Regions from separate parts of the Mus musculus genome. Here all the other regions are reported to be linked to region 1. Evidence: microRNA targets listed by miRTarBase, many of them from high-throughput screens and not tested one by one. Region 1 holds a microRNA gene; each other region holds the end of a gene's coding sequence.
What was found. The annotated mature microRNA mmu-miR-543-3p reads AAACAUUCGCGGUGCACUUCUU and lies in region 1 at 2,725-2,746, shown strand. An mRNA with a match to its seed (bases 2 to 7 or 8) in the 3' UTR can be bound and repressed. Matches are read on the target gene's strand: a 7mer-m8 pairs with bases 2 to 8, a 7mer-A1 pairs with bases 2 to 7 and ends in A, and an 8mer does both.

Region 1 (4,079 bases):
CCACCCAGGGTTGTGGTCAGCAGTAGAGCTTTCTGTGGGGTTCCAGGTAGAACACAATTCTCATCTGCAAATCATGAGCCCTTTTCATAGGCATTTCATATCAGATATCTACATTATGATTTATAACAGTAGCAAAATCACAGTTATGAAGTAACATTGAAAATAATTTTACAGTTGGGGATTACCCAACATGAGGAAGTATATTAAAGGGTCACAGCACTAGGAAGGTTGAGAACCACTCGACCAGGGGGTGGAACTGCCTGCCCCTGCCTGCTGCTTCTTTATACTACCACATGTGCTGGCACACATTTACCTTCCTACTAACTTTATAATGTGTCTGCTTTTAGAATCTTACCTTCCCTGGAAACTACCCAGACTCACAACCAGAGGGCTGGGTCGCTTCTCATCACCCACCTACCTCTTGGAACCAGAATCCGAGGCTCATTCCTGAACACCCCCAATGTACTGTACTTGTTGAAGTTGAGAGCTACTATTCCCCTGTTATCTCCTGAGGCACAATTTCTGGGGTCCCTGGTTCCCTTCAGTGACCCCCCCTAAACCTGGAGAGATAAGGAATGCAGGTGGTCTGTGTTGTTGGTAAATAGTCTCAGGCAATTCTGTGGACTGTCAAATTGCACAGGGGTTTTGGTTGCTCTCCAGGGCCCACAGAAGCAGACACTTCTGACAAGGCACCTGGCACTTTCCAGCTGCCTTTGTTTGCTTTCTGACCAGTGCTAATTGATACTTGAAGGAGAGGTTGTCCGTGTTGTCTTCTCTTTATTTATGATGAAACATACACGGGAAACCTCTTTTTTAGTATCAAATCCCACCCTGGGGGCACTCCCTGTCCCTGATGACGCCTTCAGGGAAGGGACCTGGACTGCTGTTCCCTGGACTCTGGGACATGGGACATGGGAGTATGGCATCAGGACTCAGCCCTGGAAGGAAAGTCATTTGAAGAAGGGACAGGGTCCCCGTGGTGGCCTGAGGCTACTCCCTATGGCTTTGGACTGTGAGGTGACTCTTGGTGTGTGATGGCTTTTCAGCAAGGTCCTCCTCACAGTAGCTATAAGGACGTGCCAGCATCGTGACTGAAGGGACAATGATGCCCACTGTTCTCGGGGTAGCTGTGTGGATGGTAGACCGGTGACGTACACTTCATTTATGCTGTAGGTCACCCGTTTTACTATCCACCAACACCCAGACCATCTGTGGGAAGACACCTTGGTGCACACGGCAGCTATGAAGAAGATGTTGGTGGGGTTGAGGCCAGCGTGAAACTAAAATATTTCAAGCAGAGTTAGCTTTTAAGGGGGATCCTTTTTCTGCTTGTGTGTGTACATATATGTGTTCAAGAGAGAGAGTGTGTGTGTGTGTGTGTGTGTGTGTGTTGGGGGGGGGCTACCATGGGCGTGACTTTCATTTTATGATCCTGTATCTTTGCAGTAAACAACGCCATCCTGGAGGATCCCCTGAATGTGAAGCTATATCCCAAGCTGGGGCACATTTCTCCTGGTGGGTGAGTGACAGGTCTCTCTAGCCCAGCATCAAGCCCACATCTGTCACTTATGGCATAGGCTTCGTTGTTCTTGCTCATCTCCATGTCTGTTCAATTTTGCTTGTCTTCTGAGGATTCAAATCATTGGCTGCTTCCCAGCACAAGTACCTGACTAGGAGATGTATTTCAGATATGACATCTCCTTAGGGAAGGACACCAGAGTCCTCATCAATGGAAAAGGTATGTCATGGTGTTCTGTCTGAAAGAATATATTATATTTTCATGTGTGTCCTTCTTTACTAATGCTGAGTATGCCTTCCATACCTAGGACGACCTCCTGATGTATTGCTACCCTGGGGGTGAAGGTGGCTTCCTTGCCCCTCCTCCAGGCTCCTGGCAAGTGGTTCTTGCAGCCATGGCAGAGACATAGAAAGTAAGTAGGAACTCTCCGACTGAGATTAGGAACTACTGTGATTCTGCTCATGTTTCATTGGTCAAGCCAATGAAGGGTGGGGAGGTGCCCTGTAGCCATGTCATGAGGGAGAGAACATGTGTACAAGCATAGGCAACCAACTATCTACCTGGAACACCTAAGAAGTCTATCTTTATTCATGTTCTTTTTTTTTTTTAATCTCAATGTTCCATTTCCCAGCAAGTGGAGGGTCAACAGAATCTGTTCTCAGAACACCACATGCCACTTACATATATTTTTGTCCAGGAGACATTGTCTCGTTCTGACAAAGGCTCAGATATCTTTTTGTTTCCCATTTCATGATAACCTCCTTGCATCAGGGCCTCCACCGTGGAACATAGGTTGATGTCCTCCCCTCTAGCAGATGGGTGGTGACCTCGACTGAGAGGTCACGGGACCCACCTCCTCTCTTGTCACGGATCCAGAGCTGGACTTTGGGAAGCAAAGTCAGGATTATTATATCATTCTCTGATGTTTGAGGAGACTCCAAAGACCTCCCCAAAGGATGACCAATCCAAAGCCTGTCTACAAGATCCTGATTCTGCCTGCGTGGAGCGGGCACAGCTGTGAGAGCCCCCTAGGTACAGCGGGGCTGCAGCGTGATCGCCTGCTCACGCACAGGAAGTGACGACAGCGGTACTCAAGCCACAGGAAGTGACGACAGCGGTACACAAGTGGTACACAGGGTTCCATGCTGCTGACGTACGGTGCTTAATGAGAAGTTGCCCGCGTGTTTTTCGCTTTATATGTGACGAAACATTCGCGGTGCACTTCTTTTTCAGCATCCTATTCTACGTTGAAGACTTCGGGGGTTCAACTACTTACTGACTTCAGGGAAGCCATGTTAGTCTAGGAAAGTAGTCTATGTAGTGAGCCTGGGTTGTGTGAGTTTATCTCCCTTCTTGAATGGTCCTCTGACCTTTCTTAATGAGAATGGGTTTGGGTTGGTTGGCTCCTGCTCCCTCCTCCCTCCTCCACAACACAGTGTCAAAGGAACCAGTTGACCAGACATTATTGATTCCTAGATGAGACCTTAGCCCACAGGGAGATGTTTGCTGAGACTTCTGGGAGGGGAATGAGTCTTCATTTCTGTGAGAGATGTCTGAGTGGATCTCACTGTTCCCTGAGTTTGAAGGCCAGCTAGAATTCAAGAGGACAGTACCCAGGGCTGTTTAGACAGAGGGGGAAGTGCCTGTCCCAGAGGAACCATGGGACATTTGAGTAACAGTACAATCTGGGACCTGCATCCGACACTCCTTGAAGCTCAACACGTCACTGTACCTTTAAGTTATATTAGCCTGGATGCCTCCTTTGTGTGTAAGTCAGCTTGAGGTGGGCCTTTCCTTACTATGAGAGGAATGGATGGCTCCTTGTTGAGTGGCCTGTCAATGAGTGTAACTGGCATTCTTTGGATGGTATGTTCTCTTGCTCATTATTCCCATTGTCCAGTCTAAGGTAGGTAGTTGGTACCAAGTCACTTTCCTTTGTGGTTCAGATATATTGCTGTAGTGTTGTAACCTTCCAGTAACGGTAACACACACTAATCAATGCGTTTTGTTTTCAGGGAAGGGTCGGTCATATGTCCCGTTCAGGACAGCCGCAAGATGATGAACGGACATTGCATCCCCAGACATCTCACACGCTCAGAATCCTGGAGCCTCCCATTTCAACCTGTTCTTCTGCTTCCCAGTACCCTGTGAGCTCTTTGTTGTATTTGTCTACATCGTAAGTCACTTCTGGGTGCGGGAGAGGGGGGACCTCAGAGGGCATCATCCAGGCACTCACACAGCTGGTTTAGGCTGCCCTGGATTTTGCCACCTAGTTCTTTGACTTTTTTTTTTTTTCTCAGCTTCAGAAGAGGATCCTGGAACTGAGAGAGGAGATTCTGTCTTGGAGTTTGGCACCATCCCATTTCCCCCGAGTGACACTTCAGAATGACTGGCAAGGATGGTAGGCAACATCTCAGAATCTTCAGTCTTCGTCCCAGGTCTTCCTGAGATCCTGAGGTAGAGGGGGTTTGGGCTGGATTGCTATGGCAGTGATGAGTACTGAGCCACTCCCCTTGCCTCAGGACCCCCATCCCTGTCCCCCTCCCGGCCAAGTATCTGC
Region 2 (4,079 bases), not on the chromosome of region 1:
TTCCCTTGGTGTTTCAGACTTTCAGCCTCTTTCAGGAAGAGCCATTTTTAACAAGTTTCTGTCTGATGCTGGAGAAATGATGGAGGCCAGCTAGGAAATACAGTTGAATAAAGAGGGAAAGAGCCTTCTCCCATCTTGTCAGTAGTCATGCCCACGGCAGTCATGCCCACGGCCACCTGGTTATTAGCAGAAGTAACTGTCTGAGGTTCAGCCAGGTTCTTATTGATATGGATGTAGTGATGATAAAGAGACCCAGAAATATAAGGACCCAGTTAATTCTGACATGTGCATACTTACCAAAAAGACCGAACAATAGGTCTGGAAATCTTGTATAAGTTGCCGACAACTAGGAGCTTCCATTCCCTGAGAGGATTGGTTCTGTGAGCCTGGAAGAACAGTGCTGAGCAGCTACATTACGTTCCCACAGGAAGCTCACACCAGCCTCGGGGCCCCCAGAAGCATAAGAAGACTCCCTGAGCATCACATATAATCAGTTTATTGCCAGGTAAGAAATTCATATTAATATAGTGAATACATATGTTTACAAATAAACATTCTTAGAAAACAAACAAATGTTTTTTTCTTCATTGTAGGAAGTGTTATTGTATCATAAACTCTGCAGTGTGACAAGTGTTAACACAGGTTTACTTGCAGAACATACGGTTACTAAAATATTTGCACATAAAATATGCTCCATTTATACACACACACAAAAAAAAAAATCTGGGGGAGGTTAGATGGGAATTCCAGGCAGAGCCCAAGGCGGATGGAGGTTAAGACTCCAGGAAGGTGAGGGAAGCCAGGATCTGGTCCCATAGAGTTAGAAATTGGGGATCACATGGAAGGAGAAGAAAACAGTTTTATAATCTTACTCTTTCTCTTCAATTATTGTATAGGTCATGTTCTCTTTCAATATTGTAAGGTTTATCTGCCTTCCCAAGAGGAAGGCAAAGAATAAACAGATATTCTCTACTGATTGTCACTCCACAGTTCATCTCCCAAAGTCAAACAGGAAGCAACGAGCAAGCACTGTGCGAGCTGTCTATGACCGAATTACTTGGGAAGTATATGCTACCTGCTAGTGGCCAGACTCTGTCTTGGAAGTCAAAATTACAATTGCAGACCAAGGAGCCACGTCTACTTGGATGAAGTCATCTTCAAAAAGAAGGATGAGTAAGAAATAGACTAAAGATCAAGAAAGACTTTTAAGTTAGAGTTAGATGAAGGGGAAGTGAAGGGAGTGGAGAGGGGAAATTGAGCTGGAAGGAAGGAAAAGATTGCAGAACTTGACCTGAAAAGAACGTTTCAGGTAAGTACTTCTTGAAGTAGGACTGTATGTCACTAGTGCATGCAAATTGTATGTCATGGAGGTAGCATATGGATAGAGGGCACGATCTAACACCAACTTAAAAAAGGGAGGTTTTCTTTTTTTTTCATCTGCTTTCCCCTTCACTGGATTATTCCAAGGACAAACTCTCTATTGTGTACCAGTATCTTTAACTAGACTAAGGTCTTTTTGAGAAACAAGAGAGCAGGCCAGATGTCCACTAGAGTTTTGTCTTTGAGGCCAATATGTTTCCCATAATGTTTATTGTCTGTTCATGGCAATGGATGCTAGTGTTCTATATGTGATAAATACAAAATGCTTCCCTTTTAAAATAACATGGCTTAAAAGCAAATGCATTCAGATACCAAATACTGTGATGATAATCCCCGGATGCTGATGTGTGGCGAGGACATAATTAACTCATGTCAAAGAGAGATGTGCAAGCCAGTAGCTCATACTGCTCTATCGAGAGTGCAGGGCTCTCAACATTTACTCCGACCTCTGTGTTAGCCTCTGCACCTCTTCTTTTTTAGAATCTTATAAAGTTTGGACTTTGCAGAATTTCTTTTGTAAATAAGAACAGAGTACTGTTTTTAAAAAACTGAAAAGGCTTTACTTAAGTCAGATTCCCCATGCTTCAGATGGGACACAGCCCTGGAAAGATCAAAGATATTGCCAAATTCTTCCTACTTGCTTGGAACATGGAAACTATCTGGTATGCTGATGCTGTGATGCCGAGAGCCCAGGCAGCAGAACATCACCACATGGGATGCTCCAATTCTATTTCACTAGATTTTTACACCAAAGAAGCTGTGAGGTTTTAGAAGATTCCTGTAAATTAGCTCAGAGTTCCAGGGGATAGTTGCAGACTCTTCTTTCTAAACAAAACTCTCTTGCCTCTCCATGCACCTGTCTGCCCTTCCACTAAACAAAAGACTTTCAGGGGGACCTTCCTTGTTGGGATCCAATGGCTGTGGCTGATGGAACCAATCTTTAACGCAACTTTGGGAGAGTCCAGGTAAGAAAGGATGGCATGAGGGTGCCCCTGGAGGTAATCTGGTGGGAGGGTGGGAACTGGGGTATTCTTAGGTACCTCTGACATTGTAGCAGCTCCTTCAAAGGGTGTTAATTGTCTGGGCTCACCTACAAAGGAAAGACAACATCACTACTGCAGGAAAACAGGAGGCAGGAAGGTTAAAGGAACAGAGGATGCACTTGGGAAACGAGACCATCACTTGAACAACAGCGACACACTGAAGGCACCACCCACACTTATGACATTTTTCACTCCAAAGCAGTTGAAGTTTGGCAGCAGTGGCAGCGGCACGCTGAAAGGGAAAGAGTGGTGGGGACAGACTGTTCATAGAGGATGGTTTTTGTCTTTGTTCCAGTTCTTGGAGATGACCCGGGAAGTGAAGGCTCCTCTGTGCCTCTCACCTGCTGTTAACTCTCCAACTGCAGGTTCTCTAAGTCCCGGGCAAAACTAATATTTTGTGTGTTCATTTAATGTGTCACTTTAGAAGTTCTTCTTTATTATTCTCTGGACCCCTTGGCCATCATAAAAACCTATCACTGCCAACATCATGGTCTTCCAGGGAGTTCTTTAGAATGTTCTCCCCTTTCCATCATTGACCAAGGGCTTAGAGAAGACTTACTTTGTGAGCTTTTTGCTTTCAGCTTCAATGGTATGCAATGTTCCATCAGTGTGACACTCAGGGTCCATTACTACCTCACACTTTTCACTATTCTGTGTTTGCATCACTTCTTGGGACAAGGAAATGCTTGTGACATGAGCAAATTCCTTCCCAAGCACTCTGGCACACTCCTCTTCGTGTGCCCATCCTTTTTCTTCTACCAGGAAAGACAGAACAGGGGGACCCAATGCGCTCCATGGGCAGTTTGTCTAAATTGTGCTACTTATATATCTGTTAAAATGGATTTCAGTTTTCTCTTGGGGGAAAAGGAAATGAGCCCCCACAATTTGGGCCTGAAGCTGAAAGTTTCCCCTCTATATTGCTGAATGTCCATGCTTCGGTCTCGCTCAGCTGCCTGCGGGAGCATAGTAGGCATGACCCAGGAAAAGCATGACTCCTTATGAGTAGGTCTGTGGTTGGTTCCTGTAGAACACCCGGAGTGTGTGTCTGCTGAGGGGTTGGGAGTGGGGTGTACAGGACCAGGAAGGTGTAAGTGGGATGATATTTTTTGCCTCTTTCAGTTGAGTGTGGTCTCCAGGGTGCTCCCTGAAGTAAAAGCTCAGACAGTCACTTCTGTTTTGCTGTTAGTGATGAAATATGGCTGTGTGGGTGGGAAGTGCTGGGTGCGAGTCCCCAAGGGGTCACAAGAGCCTGACTCAGCTATGCCAAGCTTGCCCTTGTTGCCATAAGCCTGCCGCCGGAGAGACTGGTCACTGGGGTCCCAGGTCTTAAAGTTGGCAGTAGAGTTGTAGGCCAGGGGATGTGGGGGCATCTTGTTGGTGCGAGACTTCTGTCCATTCTGCTGTGCAGGCCCGTGCTCTGGGCTGAAGGCGCGAGGCTCATCTTCCACTCTTACAGGGTGCAAAGGGAGATTTCCCTTGACAGCCAGCTCTGCCAGGTGCCTTCTTTTGGCGTAGAAGTCATCATTGACCTTGTCAGCTGCTCAGTGGGATGTGTTGATGGAGAAGAGAGCAGAAACAGGGGAGAGAGAAGAGAGAGTTAGGGAGTTAGGCAAGCCAACTTGAGAATACTGCAAAAAAAAAAAATAGTTGACAATC
Region 3 (4,079 bases), not on the chromosome of region 1:
TGTGCCTGCCTCCTGAGTGCTGGGATTAAAGGGTTGCACCACGGTTTCCATCTGCTCTATACTTCTGACAGAAGAGACGAAAGGTCACATAGAGCCTGTTGGGGTGATTTTGGACTTTGCTGCTCTTTATAATGAATAACCACTCTGGTCTGTTTTGCCTTCCCTGTGAAGGGCTCACTTTTACATGTATGCACATATGTATGGATGTATTTAATGTGTGTAGGGGGCTCATATGTGAAGGGGAGAAACTTATGGGAGTGGATTGTTGCCTTCACCAACTGGGCAGGCTGTGCGTTCTATGCCTTTACACAGCTTGCTGCCCGGACTACAATTCAAAGCCCATTTAGTCATTTTTATTTTACGTATATGAGTTAGCCTGCATGTACCATGTGCGCGTGCCTGGTGCTGTGAGCTGCCATGTGAGCTCTGCAAACCAAATCTGGGTCCTCTGCAGGAACAGCAAATGTACTTAGCTACTGAGCCATCTCTCCAACCAACCCAAGACCCACATTTTACTACATTCCATTAAAAAAACTGTGTTTAGAGTTCAAGAACTCCTAGGCTAACTCATATACATAAAATAATAATGAATAAACGTGTTTTGAATTGTGGTGGTCTAGGAAACTGGCATAAAGGCATAGCACACCTGACACCAGAGAGATTCAACCTGAGGGAGTGGAATCTCTCCTTCCTCCACCTGGACTCTGCAAAGCAAACTCAGCCTGTCAGGCTTGGCAGCAAGTACCTGTAACTGCTAGGCTAGCTCTCTGGTCCCCAGGACACTTTTTTGAATTTGGAGACAAGTTCTCATCATGCAGTACTTGCTATGTACACTAAGCTACTATTGAATGCAGAGATCTTCCCACCCCTGCAGGGACTGGAAGCATGCATCACTCCGCCTGACTGTAGAACTCATGTTTAGTTTATGTGCTTTGCTATGTATATCTTGTGGGCTATATGCATGCAGTACCCCGAGGCAAGAAGTGGGCACTGAACCTCCTAGGACTGGAGGAACAAATGGTTGTGAGCCTGTGTGTGGGTGCTGGGAATTGAACTTAGATCCTCTGGAAGAGTACCCAGTGCTCTTAACTGCTCTCCAGTCCCTAGAACTCTTTTTTTTTTTTTTTTTTTTTTTTCTTGTTTTTTTGAGACAGGGTTTCTCTGAGTAGCCCTGGCTGTCCTCGAACTCAGAAATCTGCCTGCCTCTGCCACCCAAGTGCTGGGATTAAAGGTGTGCGCCACCACCGCCTGACTCCTAGAACTCTTTAATTTTTCCCCCAAGACAGCTTCTCTGTATTCCCTTCTTGTATAGCCCAGGCTGTCTTGAAACTTACTCTGTAGACCAGGTTGGCCTTGGAAGATAAATTCAAGAGCACTAGCTAGGTGGTACAGGCCTGCAATCTCAGCATTTGGGATCATCATGAGTTAACAGCAAGCTGCACCTCCATACCAAGTTTAAGGTCACCCTGGCCTACGTGAAACTGTCTCATAACAATATAAAGCAGCCTTGGTAGAACTTTAATCCCAGCACTTGAGAGGCAGAGGCAGGTGATCTCTGTGAGTTCAAGGCCTACTGGTCTCCACAGAGTTCCAGGACAGCCATGGCTACACAAGAGAAACTCTACCTTGAAAAACCGAAAATAAAGAAATGAATAAATCCACCAGCTTTTGCCTCCTGGGATTAAAGGTGTATACTATATGCCTGGCCCCAGAACAAATTTTTTGTTATTTTGAGACAGGGCCTATGAACCCTATGAATCTTGGAATTCACTATACAGGCCTTGAAATCGGAGATCTTTGCCTCTGCTGCCACACTCTCGGATCTTTCCCTCCTGGGAAGTCTCCTGTGGGGTTTGTTGTACAGTGTGTCTCTGTGGTATTCCTTGGCTCTAGACTTCCAGGAGACCTTTCTCTTCAGAGCTGTAAGACCTTGGGACAAACTTCCACCACTGGAGTGGAGTACAACACTTCTCTTGGAGTACAACACTTCCCCTTTCGCCTTAGAGCTGTCACACAACTGTGGCTCCCAAGGCAGCTGGTAGCTACGGATGGCCAAAGACTGAGCGGTAATGGAGAACTGGAGGGCAAAAGGGCTGCAGGCAGAACTGGGGCTTATAGGCACAGAACCAAGGCAAGTCCTACTTATTTATTTCAGTCTTCATTTAAAAGAATGCTTCTTTTTGAGATTGGAGAAATGGCTCAGTGGTGAAGAGTACTAACTGCTGTTGCAAAGGCCCAGGAACCCACACAGTTGCTCACAGCCTCATGTGACTCCAGTTCCAGATCCAATGCCCTCCCTTGACCTCTGTAGGCTCTAGGAATGTACTTGATACACACACACACACACACACACACACACACACACACACACACACATTCAGGCAAAACATTCACACAAAAATGTCTATAATTTAAAAAAGAATTATTTTACGTATGTATGTATATATACACATTCATATGTGAGGGCATGGGCATCGCATCGGGTAAGAGGGCAATACTGAATGTGGGCTCTGATTCATTTGAAGCAGGGTCTTGTCACTGCCTGGCATGCTAGTTGGAGCGCCTGGGGTTCCTCTTTGTGCCTTCATCTTAAGAGCACAGGACTGCAGGACTAAATTAGCCTGGCCCTGTGCCTGTGGCACTTTCGCCTATGGTACCATCTCCCCAGTGCAAGTCATGGACTGCCTCCGTGTGGATGTGTGTGTCCCGTGTATGTAATTCAGTGTGTGTACATCTGCACATGAGGGCCAGAGGTGGATGCTAGGCATCATCTTTGATTGCTTTCCACGTACACATTGAGGTGGAGGCTCTAACTTGAAGCTCACTGACTTGGCTTGTTTAGGGTGTGTGGGTGATGGGAATGCAAAACCCATACACCTGGCAAGGCAAGTACTTTGCCCATAAGTTAGACCCAGTTCCTAAAAGTCTTTCTTTCTTCTCTGTGGCCCCGGAGCCACTGCTGACAGCAAGGAGTCCAGGGAGCCAGTGGTGGCTTGTCATTGCTTTAATTTATTACTGTCTGACTCCAGTGACACTGACATACCCGCTGGGCCTGTGAGCCTCCTGGAGAGCTGGCCCTGTCCAGTAAGATACAGTACAAGGAGCGGCCGGCACGCGCATGCATCCACTGAGCTACAGTGACTGGGGCCTGGGGAGGTGGATGGTGCTCCCAGGAGGTCCCCTCTCTAGACAGTTAATGCTGGTAGAGACTCGAGGCCAGGCCAGGGCCGACAGACAGGCCTATACTTCTCTGCCTAAAAATGTGGAAGATTGCATGTGTACAGTTCTCCAAGTTCGAAACTACATCTGGTGCTACCCATCACTGCTAAGGGCTACTCCATCTTGGCTGGGACGAGCGCCTCGGGGTCAGGACTCAGGAATGTCTGGTTCAGTCTTCCTCACTGCCACTTCCTGAGCGGTCCTGAAAGAACAGGGGGAATAGTTTGTGAGTAGGCTGCGGCCTAGGCACTCTCCCTTGTCCATGGTGTTCTCAATGCTGTGGAAGGGCCTAGATCCTTAAGGGATAAATTATCTTACTGTGGCAAAAAAAAAAAAACTGCATCAAGGAGGCTGGCAAGACGACTCAGCAGTTAAGAGCACTGATTACTCTTCCAAAGGTCCTGGGTTCAAATCCCAGCAACCACATAGTGGCTCACAACCATCCTTAACGAGATCTGACTCCCTCTTCTGGAGTGTCTGAAGACAGCTACAGTATACTTACATATAATAAATAAATAAATGAATCTTTGAAAAAAAAAAAAAGAAAACTGCATCAAAACTTGGACCTTGCCCTGCACCATGGTAGGGACAGGCCAACATGGAACCCCATAAGAGGCAGCCACTCATTATAGCCATTCTTGAGTATGAACATGTCTTCTGACTGCCATTTTGGTCTAATAGAGCTCAGGCTGGCCTCAAACTTGCTAGGCAACCAAGGATGGTCATGAACGCCTCCTGATCTTCCGGCTTCTACCTCCCAAGGCCTGGGATCACGGGAGTTTACTACTATGCCTGCAGCCATTATCTTATTAAGAGTCATTTTTAGGGTTGGAGAGACGACTCAATAGCTAAGAAAACTG
Region 4 (4,000 bases), not on the chromosome of region 1:
GACGTGAGGCTGGGAGGTAGGGCTAACCAGAAAATGGTAGGCTCTGGATCCTTTTGTGCCCTTTGAATTTCTATCTATGTAGGAGATGATCTTTTCCCAGAGCCCTAAACCAAAAGTTCTCTCATGACTGTTACGGTCCAGTTCCTTTTTGTTCATTCTATTTGGCTTTATGCTAACTTAGACTGACCTCGATCAGCCTGGTTGATTGGGTAGTATTTAGTTGTTCCCAGTGTGGTGGCTATCAGTCCAGTCTTGTTTGATGTACAGCATACAGAGAGAGGGTGGATGGGGACACACACACACACATACAGAGGGGGCATCCTTTTAGAAGCACCACCTTCCCAACTTCCAGGCTTAAGTATATATCAGAAATAAAAAATGTTTGTCAGTCTTTGGACACCACTCAAATACCCAAACAAGAACAATGAATTTCTCTGGAGTGATGGTGGGCAAGCAAAGGAAGGAGGGGGAGAGAGGAGGTCATAGCGGACTCTAAGAGAAGCTGTCTCGTCTCATCTCTCACAGGAAATCCAGTGACGATGCTTGGGTAAGCAATGGGACCTACCTGGAACTGAGGAAAGACCTTGGCTTTTCCAAGTTGGACCATCCCGTCTTATGGTGAAATGTAAAAGAGAAGGAGATTTCCTGTAACTTTGCCCACATTTGCTTCCGGAAGCAGCGCACAGCTGTCTGTATGTTTAAAAGATAGCATCTAGAATGATCACTTGTGCTTAGCGTAGCATTGTAAGCGCTGAAGTATATATTTTCTTCAGTAAGTCTCTTTAAAATTTCAAGTGTTATCATGATTGTTTATATGAATGTAGAACACCTCGGTATTTCTTTTTATATATATAAACTATTTAATAAAAATGAAAGATTGAATGTTAATGTGTGGGTTACAAAAAAAAAAACATTTAACACTAATTTTCCAGAGGTAAGGGGGAAATTTCAAATTTATGCCTTATAAAATCACACTGGAAAAAAATTGTCCCAGATGCGTTAAGAAATAATAACACCCAGGGATACTCACCCATGCATAGCTACCCAGGGTTAATTGGTAGCTGGGATATCTTTTCGCCTCAGACAGCTCTTCGATTGCTCATACAGAACAATTCTGCCGGTGCTGAAGTACCAAGAATGTTTTCATTTGCATTTTCCTGGTTAAGAAATCTGTATAAAGTTAGTGAGATGCATATTCTTTATATAAGGTGGGCATCAAGCAACCAGAAGTGCAAACTTCCCTCCCTTTACTTCTGTTGCCTTGTGTATAAAACTGCCCCCAGCTTGCCTAGAGACGTTGCCTTCATCAGAGAAGACTCCATTAATTCAGTGTCCCAATGGTGTCCTAGGGAGGCAGCAGACGTTTCGTTTGTCCTCAGTAAGAGCTGAATCCTTAAAAATTTAAGAAACTACTTTCAGCTTCCTGCTCCACCCCTGGCTTGCAAGCCCTCTTTTTGGCCCCTATTGAGGATGAAATGTCTCTCATTTAGTATAAACAGTAACAGCCCACGGCAGTGTGACCTTCTAAACTTCAGCGAAGTCACTGGTGGCTTTAAATAACCCAGCGTTGTTCCTCCACACGGCTTTGGTACTCTCTACCTCTTACCGAGCACCGCCCTTTTGACCTTGTATAGCCAGTTTGACCATCTGCCTTATAGACAAACATTGCTGTTCTTCTATGTCGTCCTCTTGAGAAAGCTGCAAGGGTTTACCTCTTTCCTTGACTCTCTTCTTATTTGTAATACTCTGAGTTCTGCATCTGTCTCAGACAGGAGCTACCAAAGGGAAACTGTTGTTCTTATAAGTGTCTTACTTTAAATCATGATAATAGAATGTGCACAGTAGCTGAATTGTGTTATCAAAACAACTCTGACTTCTGCCCAGAGCACATTAAAACCAAAGTCTGATTGTTAAGCCTTTGACTCGGATGTCTGTAGCAGTTCTATGAAACATTGCGTGTAATGATAGGGTAAAGAGATTTCTATAGAACGAATTTGGGAGGCCAGTGAGATCGGCTCGGCAGGCACAGGCACTTATTGTGTGAACCTGGCACTGGGTCCAGTCTCCAGGACCTATCTAAAAGATAGAAGGAAAGAGCCAACTCCCAGAGTTGACCTGTGTCACACCAGATAACCAACTGCACTGCTGAAGTTTTCACAAGTGGAGTGTTGAAGGTGAATCAGTAGTCTTTGGAGTCTACAAGTGACTGTCATTTTAAGCAACTCATTAAATATTGGTTCATTTTTTTTCCATGTTGTGGAGACACCAAGATGAACGCAGCATGAATCTCATTTCCATTTCTAAGCAGCTGGGTGGTGCGGCGATTCTTTAGTTCCTGTTTTGTTTTTTTTCCTTTTCAAGCGCTATCCACATCTGACCACAGGCTGGAGATGTAAGCAGGGATCTCGGCAGGGAAACAAACCCGAGAGGACACGTGGGATTTCAGCAATACTGACTGTGAAGTAGGCCTGCTCGAGAGGCCGCCCCAAAGGAGAAGGAAAATGACAAAAAAAAAAAAAAAATCCCACAAAATCGAGAATGTATCCCCAGAATCAGTACAGCCAGTTGTTTGAACATTCTTAAAGTATCTCGTGGTATAATTTCTGTTGACTTCAAGCTTTAATTTGGATCCACACCTACAGCTGACCCAAATGTCTCCTCTGTAGTCATCTTATTTGGATCAGGGAGAAGCATGAACAAAAATATGTTCCAGAACCATGTGCAAGCTCTGTAAGTCACTGCCCGTGTCTGGATGAAGGGCTTTCGGAATGTAGATGGTCAGGAGGTGCATGCTGCTATGTGAATCTTAAAACTCCCTGCTGGAGGGAGGAGGCTGCTACATTCCTCTCGTTCTGTCTCACACACTCTTCCTCCGAGTTTGTGTGTCTAGAACTTGGATGTTTCCATAAGGAAAACAGAACTGTGGTATTGTTTCGAGAAGAATTAAGTAAAGTTTAATCTTTCTGAACTCCTGACTTACTCCAGTACACAATGCCAATCGCTGCACCATTTGATGTGCATGTTTCAGCCCCTTTCATTCTAATTATCCTATTTCAAGTTTATGGTAAGTCACAGATGTTCTCCCAGTAGCAGGACCTTGTGCTAACCACAAACTGCACCTTCTCAGTACTCACAACCCCGATCTGCAAGGTATCGTTAAGGAATGAGTATCTTCAGTGTGGCAAAGGAGTAGTGTAGTTCCCTCCACAGGCCCTGTCGTAATAAAAGCCTCAGTGCAGCTTCTTCCTGCAGTTCACATCTTGATGCTAGGATGCTCCTGGTACTAACTAAACATTGGCAGTTCACATCCCAGACACCAGGGGTCAGGTACTAACTAAAGAGATGGAATGCAGTGTGCTTTTTGAGACACTAGGGGGAGCCTGGTATTAACTAAACAGCTTGCCATTCAACAGTCTCAGGAGGGTTCTTGTACTAAACAGATGGGGGTTCACTCTAGGTCATAAATACAATTACCTACTAAGTAGCAAGAATGCCTCAGCAATCCCCAAGCCTTCCAGTGCCTCTGGGGGCTTCCTGATGGAAAACTACACAAACTGAGTTTTTTAAATGTTAACTCCACTTAGGCTTCTGTTTTCCTCATATCCTATTTTTAATTACTTCCAATAAATCATTTGCTCAGCCTTCTAGCACTGTCTTCCTTTGTATTTGTCAGATTTATGATGCATTGTTTCAGTCTACCCTTAAAGAAGTCAAGCCAAAAATAGAGGTGAGGGCTACTTTGCTTCTTAATGTAGGCCTACTGTGCACACCACACACTCTCTCTGAGGGACTGTAGCTATTAGATACTGTCCTCACACCCTCGAGCTACCAGCCAGGGCTCTAAGTTGCTCTCGTGATCTTAGTTAGAAATACAGGCTACAGTGTTTGGTCAGAATTTATTCGAATGTCTTTATTTTTAATACCAACATCAGCATAAATCTATTTTTGCTAGTAGATCAAAGCTATTTTCACACGCTCTGTTTTCTATCTTGTATCGATC
Region 5 (4,079 bases), not on the chromosome of region 1:
GGAGGGAAAGCGTGTGGGTTTGAAAGAATCTCAATAGCCTGGTGGAATCTAACCTGTCTGCTTGCTTGTTTTGAGACGGGATCTGGCTGTGTTGCCCAGGCTGGTATTGAACTTCTGGGCTCAAATGATCCTTCCGCCTCAGCCTCCTGAGTACCCTGAGATAAATCATCCTAAACGTTTTGAGCCACACATTCTACATCAGAACTTACCCTGGCAGTGGATAACTTTGTTTCCACTATTCATCTTTAAATACCACTATTTAGCGGTTGTTCTAAACGTTATAGTCTGAGCAGCTGCAGCTGCCTTTCATAATCATTGCTGAGTGCCTCTTACTGCAAGCAGGGATGGCTCTTCAGTAGCAGGGAGCACTGAGCCAGCTCAGGGGCAAGGGTAGGCAGCAGGCAAGCTAGGCGGAGTGAGGAGGTGTGGGCACTCACGCTTGCTTCACTGTCTTTGCAGCTGAGCCTCTGCCGCTGATGGACCTGTGCCGGCGATCCATCCGCTCAGCCCTGGGCCGACAGCGCCTGCGTGACATCGGCTCCCTGCCCCTGCCTCAGTCTCTGAAAAACTACCTGCAGTACCAGTGAGCGGCGCTGAGGATCGGCTGTCATCTGTGGTCACACAGCTCCAGAGCGTCAGGACACATCAGTGACTTGGAAAAGGAATGCCTGTTGCCATTGCTGCCACCGACCAGGACCAGGAGGCCACCTCGTGAACCAGAGTGTAGAGACCATTATCTTCCTCAAGAGAATGAATAAAACATTGGGCAGGAGACGGCATCCAGTTAGTTCCCCACTGCAGACAGACCCAGGAAAATTGGCCAGTGGAGAGAAAATGGGTTCTGAATAATGAATGACAGAAGCCAGCCCTTGATGGTCTCCTCCACGCCTGCCCCTGGCCAGGGCAGAGAGACTGTCCTCCATTTTAAGACTTGGTACCACTTTGAGAGATGAGTCCAGGGTCCCACAGCAGGGCAAAAGCACCTGGCCTTACCTCTCTGAGCCGGTTTCCTCATCCCCTCCTGCCCTCTTCCGTCATGGATAAAGTTCTTTGGCCATTCCCCTCCCCACTTTATTCAGGGACATGAATCTGATGACTTGCCCTGGGGACAGAGTTTCTTCTTGGGTATGATCATTGTAAGTAGTGTTTGCATTTTTTTTTTTTGAAAGAGGAGTGTGGTGAAGGTGGCTTTCTCCCAAAGGTGCTAAGGAAGATGGGGCCCTCGTGACACCAAGTCTGAGACACCCTGAGTATCCAGGGCTCTGGCAGCCATCATTCAGGGTGAAGCCTGGCTGTCACAAAGCTTTCTTTGAGCAAATTATTTTTTCACTGTAGGAGACTTCCAGTTTGTTTCTCGTTTCCAATATGTGTGTGATGCACCGTTTATTTATCAGCTGGGGCCCCGCGGTGTGGCCTTGGGACTGCAAAGGTGGGTATAACAGTCTCTGCAGGACCTGAGACCTATCCTCTCACAGAATGTTGCTGCTGCTGCTGCTGCTGCCGCCAGCGCCACCATTTGGCATCTTTTGTGTGTTCCAAGATACCCTCCACCCAGACTCAGTTTTAACTGGAAATCATCACAGAGTAGGATACAGAGCCAGACAGTGCAGCCTACACTGTAATGTGAATGTGACCTACAAGCAAGGAACATTTCTAATAAAAGTTTGTCATTCTGTCCTTCAGCTGTGTGTAAAGTGCTCTATCCATCATCCTCCCTGGTCTGTCCCCAGATCCACAGACATCAAACCTGGGAGTGCCTCTCTGTACACACACACACACACACACACACACAAACGTCCACATTCGAACCCCAACCACAGAGATGTAGAGACCCGATCTGGAAGACACTCTGTCCCCAGGATCTTCAAAGACTCCTATAAGCCCTGATGCTGAAGCCTTAGATGTTCAAGGTGACCAGAGTCAGTCAGGGTAAACCCAAGACCTGGCTCTGGGGCTGAATGCAGTTGGCCACCAGGGAGCAGTGCTGGTTGCTGCAGAGCAAATGAGGCAGAGTTAAGCTGAGCTCTGCTGGGGCTGGTAGCAGGTTAGCAGTTAGGGACAGGAAGGGGACTATGTCAGGACCAGTACAGGATTCACTTAGCAGCATCAGCCACCCATATACCACACCACACCAGACTCTAGGGCAGTGTCAGACTGATGTCTCTGTCCTGGGTGGGGACATTTACAGTTTGTTGTAAGACCTTGAGGAACTCAGCAGGAGGAGGAGGGGAGGGGAAGAGACAATTTCTTGTGATCAGAAGAGCGAATATGAGACACACGTTGTCTGCCCACCCTGAGGCTGGAGACAGGATAGGAATGGCGTCTCCAGGCTGCAGGCTCTAAGCACCTGCCTGGCCACTGACTGACTCAGCTGCCAAAGCGTTCAGTTGTTGTGGTTGCTAAAAGCAGCTTCCGGGAGAGGCACAAGCTTGGGCACTGGTCGGGAAGCCTGGGTTGGGGTTCAGGCTTCCTTGTTTATACACAGTCACCTTGGGTAAGTCACTTTCCCCTCTGGGCACAAGGAGCTTGACCAGGTAGCCAGTGACTGACTAAGGACCGTCCCTCTCCCAGCCTCTAGGGTCCAAGTTTCAGCACCACTTTCCATTTTGGAAGAAGCCCTTTTGTCTCAGCTCCTAAGCTTCGTGGCTTCTCTCATTCTAACAGTGCCTTCCCTCCCTCACTTCACCCTCTCATGATTAATGAGATCAGCCTTCATCTAGACACCCCATAACCACCCACCAGTGTCTTCCTGCTCTGAGCTATCAGTTCTGAGCATGTATCTCCCGGCACCAAGGACCCTATTCTGAGCACTTGTATTGGGTCCTATCTGCCCTTAGCCTCATGGATCCAGCAGGCTGTGGGTCTCTGGAGGGCTGGGCCGGTGCCTATACCTACAACAGCCTCGTAGGTCAGACACATCAGCTCTGCAAAGGCCTGTAGAGGAGCGGGACAGATAGAATGTCCTCTGCAAACTGGGACACCCAGAGGAAACTGCAAGGGAAGAGCTCAAGTAGCTCAAGTAGGGATGAGGTCCTCCCAGAGCTGAGGACCGACCCCTAAGTTCTCCTAAGCTCCCTGTCCTCTCGTGACCATACCTACAGCACTATCCTGAAATGACTGAGTCCTGGCCCAGCTTTGCCAGACCTCACAGTCTAAGGGGGAGATAAAGATGGCCCCCAAGCAAAGAAGCAGCATGGTGTTCGAGGGGATGATGGGGTGAGGTGGGGGCTAGGAGTCAGGCTACAGAAAGCCACTGGGGAGTTAGGTACTGAGTCCTGACAAGGAGCTAGACAGGTGAGAGGAGGCAGAACATTCATACACATGCTTTAAAAAACAAACAAACAAACAAAAAACTTGAAAAAATGTTGGATACAGCAGCAATGGATAGGAGACAAAACCACATCCAGCTATCTTTCCATAAACTACAATCGTTGTCTGTTAGCTGTCCTGTGTGAAGTATCCTGGGGTGCTGCTTCTGCACATCTCCCTGTCCATGATGGCCTCAGGCCCAGAGGAGAGCACCCTAGCCTGCTATGCTGTGGCTGGAGGCAGCTCCCTGGTTCTAACAGGCTCCAGGCCAGCACTGTGGCCCTGGCCTTTCCATCATGGCTGCTAAACAGAGCCCAGGCTAGATCAACAGTCTCTATCTCCAATGCATTTTCTTTTAGGGAAGAAAGGTACACATATTCTGAGGGGATAAGTGTGCAGCCTAAGACAATCGCATCCTCCTTCACCTGCACGGTGTTATTCTTCCTGTCTTCGGTGAAGTGTTGCTCAGGCGTTGAGCTTACAAGGAATGTCCTACACATAATCACCTACAAAATTCATGCTCCAGGATCATACAACTGGGGGGGTTTTATATAGTAAAAACACAATGTTTAAGTAAGTTCTCACATTTGTGTTGGGCCACATTCATAACTGCCTTTGGTCACATGTGGCCTGCAGTCTGCAGGCTGGACACGCATGGGACACACGCGGGAGTCTAGAGCACCATTGGCACAGCGTTTGCTTTCTGAGAACTTTGACTCTAAGGACTCAGGCTGGTTCCACATGAGCCTTGCCACATTTGCCTCCGAGTG
Region 6 (4,079 bases), not on the chromosome of region 1:
TGTCCTGGGGATTCTAAGAGACAATCCACCAGTGCTAGTCAGACTGCCCGTTTGTCGTCACTCTTCCATCTGCCCAGCTTTGGCTCCCTAAATTGGATCTCCTCGCTGTCACTGGCCAGTGGGCTGGGAAGTGTCTTGCAATTGTCTGGAAGTAGTTTACAGATGGATAAGCAGGATGGTGAGTTTCTATCCAACCCACCACAGCCAGAGCAGGACCTGCACAGCTTCCAGGGACAAGTCACGGGCTACTTATAGTATCACCTCCGAAGGGCCACAGCCAAATGTGGTGACAAAGAAATCCTTGAAATGGCCTTTTTATTATTATGTAACAAATGTTAATTTTATTTATGTTTATTATTTGCACAGAAGAGTTCTAGAAAGATGTATTTTTTAAATGTTTCCAAGACATATATAGGAAGCCAGAGGTACCAAAAAGAAAGTTTATTTTTTAAAAGTTCTAAGTAGAGTATACTTAAGAAAAATAAGAACACATATCTTTATCTATCTATATATAAAGTTTAAAGAAGAGTGACACTTGAAAAGTGTGTCTAGATTTATTTTTTCATCTCATTTTTGTAAGGAAAAGCAATGTGCATTGTTTCTTCAACACACATGACCCTCACTTTCTGCCAGCAGACATAAACATACAGTTAGTCCGGTGAAGCCTGGGGTAGCTGTGGCGGGTGTGGACACAGGACAGGGAGGAAAGAAGACAGACGGAAGGGCATGTGACCTTTGAGGCAAATACCTCCATTGTCTTCCAATGTTACTAACAGTGAACAGAAAGTGAAACCTTGAGGAAAACCCATGTGACGTTTCTGCCACCACTCACATCTGGGCAGGCATTTCATAAAGTTCACCTCATGGGTCTGACAGCTCCGGTGTTGTGTGTATTTCTTGCTTAAATCATCACAGGCAATAAACAACCCCCACTATGCAATGAGAGTGTCTGGTGCCACTGTTGTGTGAAGATCCTGGTGGGTGACACAAGCTAGAGTGTTCTGAATACTGTGAGGACACTTCCTCATGCAAGTCCTTTCAGACACCAAAGAAAAAAATACTGTGGGGTATAGGTCAGGGCCACCAAGTGACCTCTTATCCCAATCTCCTTGCACCAGGCCATAGGCAACAGCCAGATTCTGCCAACCAAACTCTTAAACGTTCTGAGTAGCTACGATCAGGCTTTTGTCTGATGAGCTAGCATTTCTCCTTGTTCCAAAATGATTAAAACTCTCATGACAAACTCTCATATATCAATGACAGTGTTAACTCACCCCCAATGTAGTGACCATCCTGTCCCACACTTAGGATAGGAAGTGAGCAGAGTATGTCTCAGGCTCATCCAGTGGGTAGCTGTCTCCTTAGGCTGCAATGCAGAGGGACAGAGGATAATGATTTGGGAAAGAACTACCCACTAAATATGGTTCTTGTCAAACAGAATGTCCCTCATTCCTCAGAGTGGAAGCTGTGAGGAAACTGTGTGTAGAGGGGTATATTTTCTATGGTACTGTGTTCCTAGACACAGGCTCACTTGCCCTGACAAACTTGGTAAATAAATGAAGAAATGACAGACAGACAGACAGTCAGACAGACAGACAGACAGACAGACAGACACGGGAGGGACAGGAAGGGAATGGGACAGAGAAAGGAAGTGGAGTCTGGTGGAGTGAGCTCCCGGGTGGCGAAGCATTGTCACCCAGAAGCACAGTATGTTTATTACATAGAGTTGAAGAGAGAGGCAGGTCTATTGCACCCAAATAAACAAGGAGGCAGGGTTTATGGAGTACAGTTGGATCGAGGAGACAGGTTTAGGTAAATTAGGAGGAAGTCGCTGTAGGGGAGTGGTCTGCAGCCTATGAACATCCAGCAAGCAGGAAGCTGTGGTAGACATTTTTGATAAACAGTGCCAACATCCATAGATGGAACAGAAGGGAAAGCTTTGCTGTCGCCCTTTAGGTCTGAAACCATGGTCCTTGACATGTCTGTGCCGATGTCAACAGTGCATGCCCACTCAGGACTTCATCCACTGGGGGCTTTCTCTGCTCCCCACACTACACTTCTTGATAGAGCTGGCAGAGACACCTGGGTGCTTTGAGATGGGGGTGGCAGAAGTTAGTGGGAGGCAATTTTTGCACTGGCATTGCAGGATCAAAGGCAACAGCTCTCCTAACTGGGTCCCTGTTGTGTCACTCCCTGCCATGCCTAGTGCCACCTTTTCTGTTCTTGGGAGCCACACATCTGAAAAGTTTTTATGTGTGAAGCTGTGTTCTTATCACAAGACCACAATAACAAGCATATACCTGTGTGTGTGTGCATGTGTGTGTGCGTGTGTGTGTGTGTGTGTGTGCATGCACATGCACACACACGTAAATGTGTGCATGTCTGACTTTAAAATGACCCAATGTCCAGATGCCCTGCACTCACAGCCTTGCTTCTTTGCAGGAGAAATATTCCCTCTGAGGATAGGGTTTCTTGGCAAAGGATCTGGGCATTAGCTTCAGAAACTTTCATAGCAAAGCCCGGTTAGAGAAATATTTCAAAAGTTATGGCAGTTGGCTATTTATAGGGTGAGAAATACTTATGCAATTTACCGTAGTCTATTCCAGCCAACCACGTTCATCTCAACATAGCATAATATGGGGTGAAAGTCATGAACCCTTCTGAAACATTCCACCTAAAATACATTGCCAAAACCTAACAAAAGGTTTGAAAATTTGAATATTTACAAAAGAGCAATTAGTGGAAGGGGAGAGACTAAAATCAACATTATTACTACATGACTGGGTAATATGCCTAGAAGTTCAAATGAATAAATAAGAAGCTCTCAGTAATCTAAGGAGGAATTCTATCAGCTCTCTATGCTGGTGGATGGTTGCACTCATCCAGCTTTGGGCATCAAAGTAACTGAATGAGGTAATAAACATTGCACAGCATGGCTACTTGCCTCAAAATCAAAACCAACTTCTCAGGCAGCAGGGATTGTGTCATTCTGCCTTGCATGTCTGACATTGCACAGAATCTAATATCTTAGATGCATTCAACAAATATTGGTAAGTAAAAGAATCAACCTATTAATAAAAATTAAAGATACTCCTATTAAAATCATATTAAAAATTACTTGTTATAACTCATTATTTGTTTAATAGTTTCCAGATTTTCTCGCTGATACCATAGCATATGAATTTCTTAAAGTTAATTCCTAAATGGCAGAAAGTAAAGATAACCATTGTTCATACATGATACAATTTAATACCTGGAAAATCCCAAATGAATAAATTTAAAAGGCTCTTAGAATTAATGAAAAGGAAGAAATAAATCATTTCACTGGAAGAAAAACTAGCCACAGTTTGTATAGAGAACAGTGGGAATCATGCAGGTGTACTGATGAAGGCTGAAGAGGTCTCAGTTGCCACAATATGAAGAAAAACAAATATTGAAGAACAATCTCTGTGAGCAGAAAAGAAGGCGTCATCTCTAAATTAGAAAATGTGAAGCTGTCTCATTCCATACATATTTCCTGTCAGCCATTCTCAATTTTCAGTTTCTTTGTTTGGGTAGTTCTGAAATTAACAAAGTGGTTCAAGATTTTATGTAGGACAATATATGGAAAAAAAAATACCAAAGAAAGTTCCACCAATAAATCATGAACAGAAAATGTCTGCTTTATTCAGTAAAGTATTAGTTAATCCTAGAGTTGAACACAAAGCTAACTACGATCGTTAAGGGATAATGGACAGTTCAGATAGGAATGCTTTATGGCATTCAGATTCTTAATGTACAATTTGTTCAAGAAAGATATATGAAGAGAAGAAACATGATATGCCATTTTACAATAAGAATTTATGGTTAAAAGGATTAAGGGAAAGCTATTTATAAATTCATATTTATAATAAATGTAATATATATATCACATATAATCAGGTGATATAGAAAATATTCATTATATATGTGTGTATATATATATACACATACATACATACATACATACATACATACATACATACATACATACAATAAAATAAACTTGAAATTTTTTAATTGAAAGCCATAGTATAGGTAGAGAAAATCCGAAGGTGACA
Region 7 (4,079 bases), not on the chromosome of region 1:
CTTCAACCAGTCTGTGTATTTTATGGGGAATAAGTGTATTCACATTTACTTTGGTATGATTATAGTTATTATTGACATACTATATTTGGTGATTTCAGGTCTGTAACAGTGTATTTAACAGCTGGGACCAGTTCAAAGATCACTTGGTAATACACACTGGAGATAAACCCAACCATTGTACTCTGTGTGACTTGTGGTTTATGCAAGGAAATGAATTACGGAGGCATCTTAGTGATGCTCACAATATTTCAGAGCGTATAGTAACTGAAGAAGTCCTTTCAGTAGAAACACATTTACAAACCGAGCCAGTGACATCAATGACTATTATAGAGCAAGTTGGGAAAGTGCATGTGTTGCCACTGCTTCAGGTCCAAGTGGATTCCGCACAAGTAACTGTGGAACAAGTTCATCCAGATCTGCTCCAGGACAGCCAAGTGCATGATTCACAAATGACCGGGCTTCCAGAGCAGGTCCAAGTGAGTTATCTGGAAGTGGGCCGAATTCAGACTGAAGAAGGCACTGAAGTACATGTTGAAGAGCTTCACGTTGAACGGGTAAATCAGATGCCAGTTGAAGTACAGACTGAGCTTCTAGAAGCTGACTTGGATCACATGACCCCTGAAATCATGAGCCAAGAGGAGAGAGAGCCTAACCATGCAGATGCTGCCATGGAAGAACACGAAGATGCTGAGGGGTTAGAGACCAAACCAAGCGAGTATTCCCAAGCTAGAAAAACAGAGAATGACAGGACATCTCTGCCGGTTTTAGAATGAAATAACAGTTATATTTTTAAATTTACATTTGTGGTAAACTGATGGGCAGTGTGACCTTAAGCTATCAAATAAGTGGACCAAAGTTAAACTATTTCTGTTGTGCTGAACTGTTTCTATGGAAACAGGCTGATGTCCTTCCAGTTAATGCCACAGAGTGGGAATATTCCTCATAATGAGTGGAAGCTTTGAGAAGTATATTTCTGTTAACTTAAATGAATTATATTCTTATTATATAGTTGGGTACGAATGCATCTATTTTCATTGTGGTAAGGGTCTCTGTATCCTCTTCCCCAGGTCATGTCTTTCCTTAAATTCTTTGCATATTATAAAATCATACTTAAAACCATTAGAATACGTACATTTGTATTCTAATGCATGTTAAAAAGTTGAGTATGTAGGCAACACAAGGCTGCATGAGGGAAGTGCATTGTTACGTGCAGTTAATAGTTGGGGGCTGGCTTTATTTTGAACAACATTCTTGTCTATCCAGTGGCTACAAATGTTGTCCCCACAACAGAAACGGTGGTGGCAGAATTTCTAGAATGTTAAAAAACAAAAACAAAACAAAAAAAAAAAAACCACCCTGTGCCTTTTCAAAGCCAACAAAACTTCAGAAAAACACCTCTGGTTCTTTCAAAGTTTGTGTTTTAAAGTGCTCTGGTACTTGGTATTTTTTGCTAAAATGACAACTACCAATTCTTTTTCCTTTAAGTTACATTGAAATTTTTTCATTTAACGGCAGCTGAAGGGCCATTTTCAATTGGAAAAGTTCACTTCCATCTGTGGTAAACTTTATTTTGATGAGAAGTTGCACTAGTATTTTACCACCAGATGGAAAAAATATTAGGTGAGCATCATTTTTAAATTAATGTATTTAAAATAAAGTACAGAGGATATGTACATGTATATAATATATCAGGCTTTTGTTTTGAGTGGAATCTTTTCCCCCCAATTCTTAATGTAAAGATTTTGTGCTATAACTTTTAAAGCCATACAAATAAGAGTGCTAAACTGTGGACTTAAAAGTAGTTGTGTAAATATTTTTAATCAGTATTACTTGGAAAATAAAAATAACAACCACGTAAAATCAATATTGCTATTTTCTTTACCTGTTAAATACTGGGAGATAATTTACGTTTTAAAGTAAACTTTAAAATTATGTGTTATTTTATGTGTATGGGTGTTTTGTTTGTATGCATGTCTGTGTACCATGTGCGTGCCTGATGCCCCCTCCCAAAACCCAGAAGATGGGTAGAGTTGGTTGTGAGCTGCCATATGGGTGCTGAAAATCAGACCTAGGTCCCCAGAAAGAGCAGAGTGCTCTAAGCCATCTCCAGCCCTCTTACATTTTTTTAATTATCAATTTGGAGATACTTCATGCACTTTTGTGACTGTGGTAAACAGGGCTCATTAATTAAGATAAAAGATTGTTAATACATACTTCCTAACCCAAGAGCTAGCTAAGAAGGCCAAGACACAAGTTACTTGTATTTTGTAAATATTATTGGCAAAAATTGGAAGTGGTATTTTTTTTAGAAGTGTCTATTTATTTTAAACATGTTTTTCCAATTGTTTTTAAAGAGATCAGCTCAAGTAATACTTTTGGTAATTGTGGTATTAAATGGTAACATCACATAGTTTTATATCACTCAGTTTGTTAATATTAAGATCAGGCTTACAAAGTGTTTATCACTAGACCACATTTTATATGTTGAGTAAGCCAACAACAAATTAGACCTAAATGTAAAGTTTTAATTTCTGTTTAGCATGTGTTGTCTTCAGTGAAAAGGTGGCCATTGAGGAGCTCACTTGAAAGTAGTCTTAAAACTGATGTGGAAAAATGGGAGGGAGGGAGGAGAGCTTTTGAAGGCCCTGTGTTGATTACATTTGGAGAAGGGGACCCAAGCAAAATGTATTTCATGTGCAATGTGCTGAAGTGTGCTGTAACTCTTTAACAAAACTTGTCATAAAGGATTGAAATGAGAATCAGCGCCAGACTAAAGGCCTAGAAGTGTGTTTTGCTCTAATCAGCTAGTCAGAGCATGGAGGACATCTAACCTCTGTGCTGTAAACAGCCCCTCCTCCACGGTAAGTCCAAAGGCAGCATATTTCTTCTTGATGGTAGTGAGATGTGATTTAGCTGAAATAACCTCTACCTTAGTAATTCTACAAATGTGACCTGGGAATGGAAAGTTTGATTGTAATGATAGCTGTCAGTCATAAATCACCTATGTATATACATCCACACACTTAAAGTCTCATTGACTGGGTGAGAGAATGGCTGGAGCTAGTTACGTACATCATTAAGTAGTTACCTCTACTTCAGAGTGTACAAAGCATAAGAAATACTCATTTTCTTTCTGGTGTCCACTCCAGCTTTTCATGGGGCTGGGAGTAGAGGAGATAAGAGATCTGTTAAGCTGTCAAGGAACCTCACATCCTTGCCCTGAGGCTGTGTACTCCCATTTGTGAATCTCCCTTTTACTGGCATTCCAGTTTGTAAGAAAACTGCGGTTTAATAACATGTCACTCCCAAAGATTTTTTTAATTTACATAACCCAGGATATCTGGTAGTTGTTAGATTAGATGATGCCCTTATTGGAGAAAAGTAAGTCATCTGTCTAAACAAGTTTATGGGAACTACATCAAGAAGTTCAAGTTGTTTGTTACTGACAAGGAAGAAAGGAAAACCCACCTGGGATGACAGACCACTCAAAGTGTGCTTGCCTGCCCGTGGCCCTGCTGCACTTCATCTATACTTGTACCTCAGGCTCCTAAAGTGGCTCTTGATGGGGAAGAGAACTCCTCCCACCTAGTCAGGGTGCAACATTTATCTCTGGAGCACTGGCCTTTGGTGAGCAGGCAGGTAGTAGCCTAGCAGTTACCAGAATCTTGTTACAAGCAACTTGCTAGGCTCCACATCCAGACTTGAATATTCTATTGGTCTGGGTTAGTGCCTGGGAGTTGGAATTACTAAACGAATTCCCCGATAGTGGATATCACTGGCTGTTGGGTCTGGGGTCATTTGGTGTATAACTGACATAAGTGATAAAGGACTTACAGGAAACACTTGGTTAGCCAAGTTTGTGTGTGTGTGTGTGTGTGTGTATGTACATACATGTTGGGGATGTTTTTTTTCAATACCGGGGACCAAACCTAATGCCTTGACTATGCTACAGAAATGTTTTACTAACTGAGCTGTATCTTCAGCCCAGGAGTGACTGAGAGGCTCTTTATAGAGCTTCCACCTGCTATTACAGATTTTTCATGGTAGCTTTTGATTGTAGTGATGAGACCAAGACAGTC

Region 2: the mRNA of Shisa9 is a reported target of mmu-miR-543-3p. Seed matches in the 3' UTR shown: 7mer-m8 at 551-557.
Region 3: the mRNA of Smarca4 is a reported target of mmu-miR-543-3p. Seed matches in the 3' UTR shown: 7mer-m8 at 2,386-2,392.
Region 4: the mRNA of Osbpl3 is a reported target of mmu-miR-543-3p. Seed matches in the 3' UTR shown: 8mer at 880-887, 7mer-m8 at 1,136-1,142 and 7mer-A1 at 3,567-3,573.
Region 5: the mRNA of Spsb4 is a reported target of mmu-miR-543-3p. Seed matches in the 3' UTR shown: 7mer-m8 at 1,475-1,481.
Region 6: the mRNA of Atp10a is a reported target of mmu-miR-543-3p. Seed matches in the 3' UTR shown: 7mer-A1 at 332-338 and 7mer-A1 at 763-769.
Region 7: the mRNA of Zfp131 is a reported target of mmu-miR-543-3p. Seed matches in the 3' UTR shown: 8mer at 1,314-1,321.

What each region holds. Positions count from the first base shown.
Region 1 is chr12:109,714,580-109,718,658 of GRCm38, forward strand. Mir543 (microRNA 543) reads left to right here and starts at 2,679; the gene lies at 2,679-2,754. It overlaps Mir494 (microRNA 494), which reads left to right and starts at 739; the gene lies at 739-823. Mir679 (microRNA 679) reads left to right here and starts at 998; the gene lies at 998-1,071. It overlaps Mir1193 (microRNA 1193), which reads left to right and starts at 1,092; the gene lies at 1,092-1,212. It also overlaps Mir666.
Region 2 is chr16:12,267,305-12,271,383 of GRCm38, reverse strand. Shisa9 (shisa family member 9) reads right to left here. Exons shown (of 5, transcript NM_028277.2): 5 at 480-3,960. The coding sequence ends at 3,581. Among named protein-coding and RNA genes, the nearest start is that of Shisa9, 290 kb to the right of the region's middle.
Region 3 is chr9:21,702,278-21,706,356 of GRCm38, reverse strand. It overlaps Smarca4 (SWI/SNF related, matrix associated, actin dependent regulator of chromatin, subfamily a, member 4), which reads right to left. Exons shown (of 34, transcript NM_001174078.1): 34 at 2,127-3,421. The coding sequence ends at 3,389. Among named protein-coding and RNA genes, the nearest start is that of Gm26511, 19 kb to the left of the region's middle.
Region 4 is chr6:50,293,687-50,297,686 of GRCm38, reverse strand. It overlaps Osbpl3 (oxysterol binding protein-like 3), which reads left to right. Exons shown (of 24, transcript NM_001347213.1): 24 at 526-4,000. The coding sequence ends at 622. Among named protein-coding and RNA genes, the nearest start is that of Gsdme, 34 kb to the right of the region's middle.
Region 5 is chr9:96,941,085-96,945,163 of GRCm38, reverse strand. It overlaps Spsb4 (splA/ryanodine receptor domain and SOCS box containing 4), which reads left to right. Exons shown (of 3, transcript NM_145134.3): 3 at 460-1,682. The coding sequence ends at 587. Among named protein-coding and RNA genes, the nearest start is that of Gm51657, 46 kb to the right of the region's middle.
Region 6 is chr7:58,828,483-58,832,561 of GRCm38, forward strand. Atp10a (ATPase, class V, type 10A) reads left to right here. Exons shown (of 21, transcript NM_009728.2): 21 at 1-944. The coding sequence ends at 255. Among named protein-coding and RNA genes, the nearest start is that of Gm39019, 99 kb to the left of the region's middle.
Region 7 is chr13:119,763,046-119,767,124 of GRCm38, reverse strand. Zfp131 (zinc finger protein 131) reads left to right here. Exons shown (of 8, transcript NM_001302548.1): 8 at 99-1,939. The coding sequence ends at 773. The region is part of intron 1 of Gm41077 (predicted gene, 41077); the gene reads right to left. Among named protein-coding and RNA genes, the nearest start is that of Nim1k, 9.2 kb to the right of the region's middle.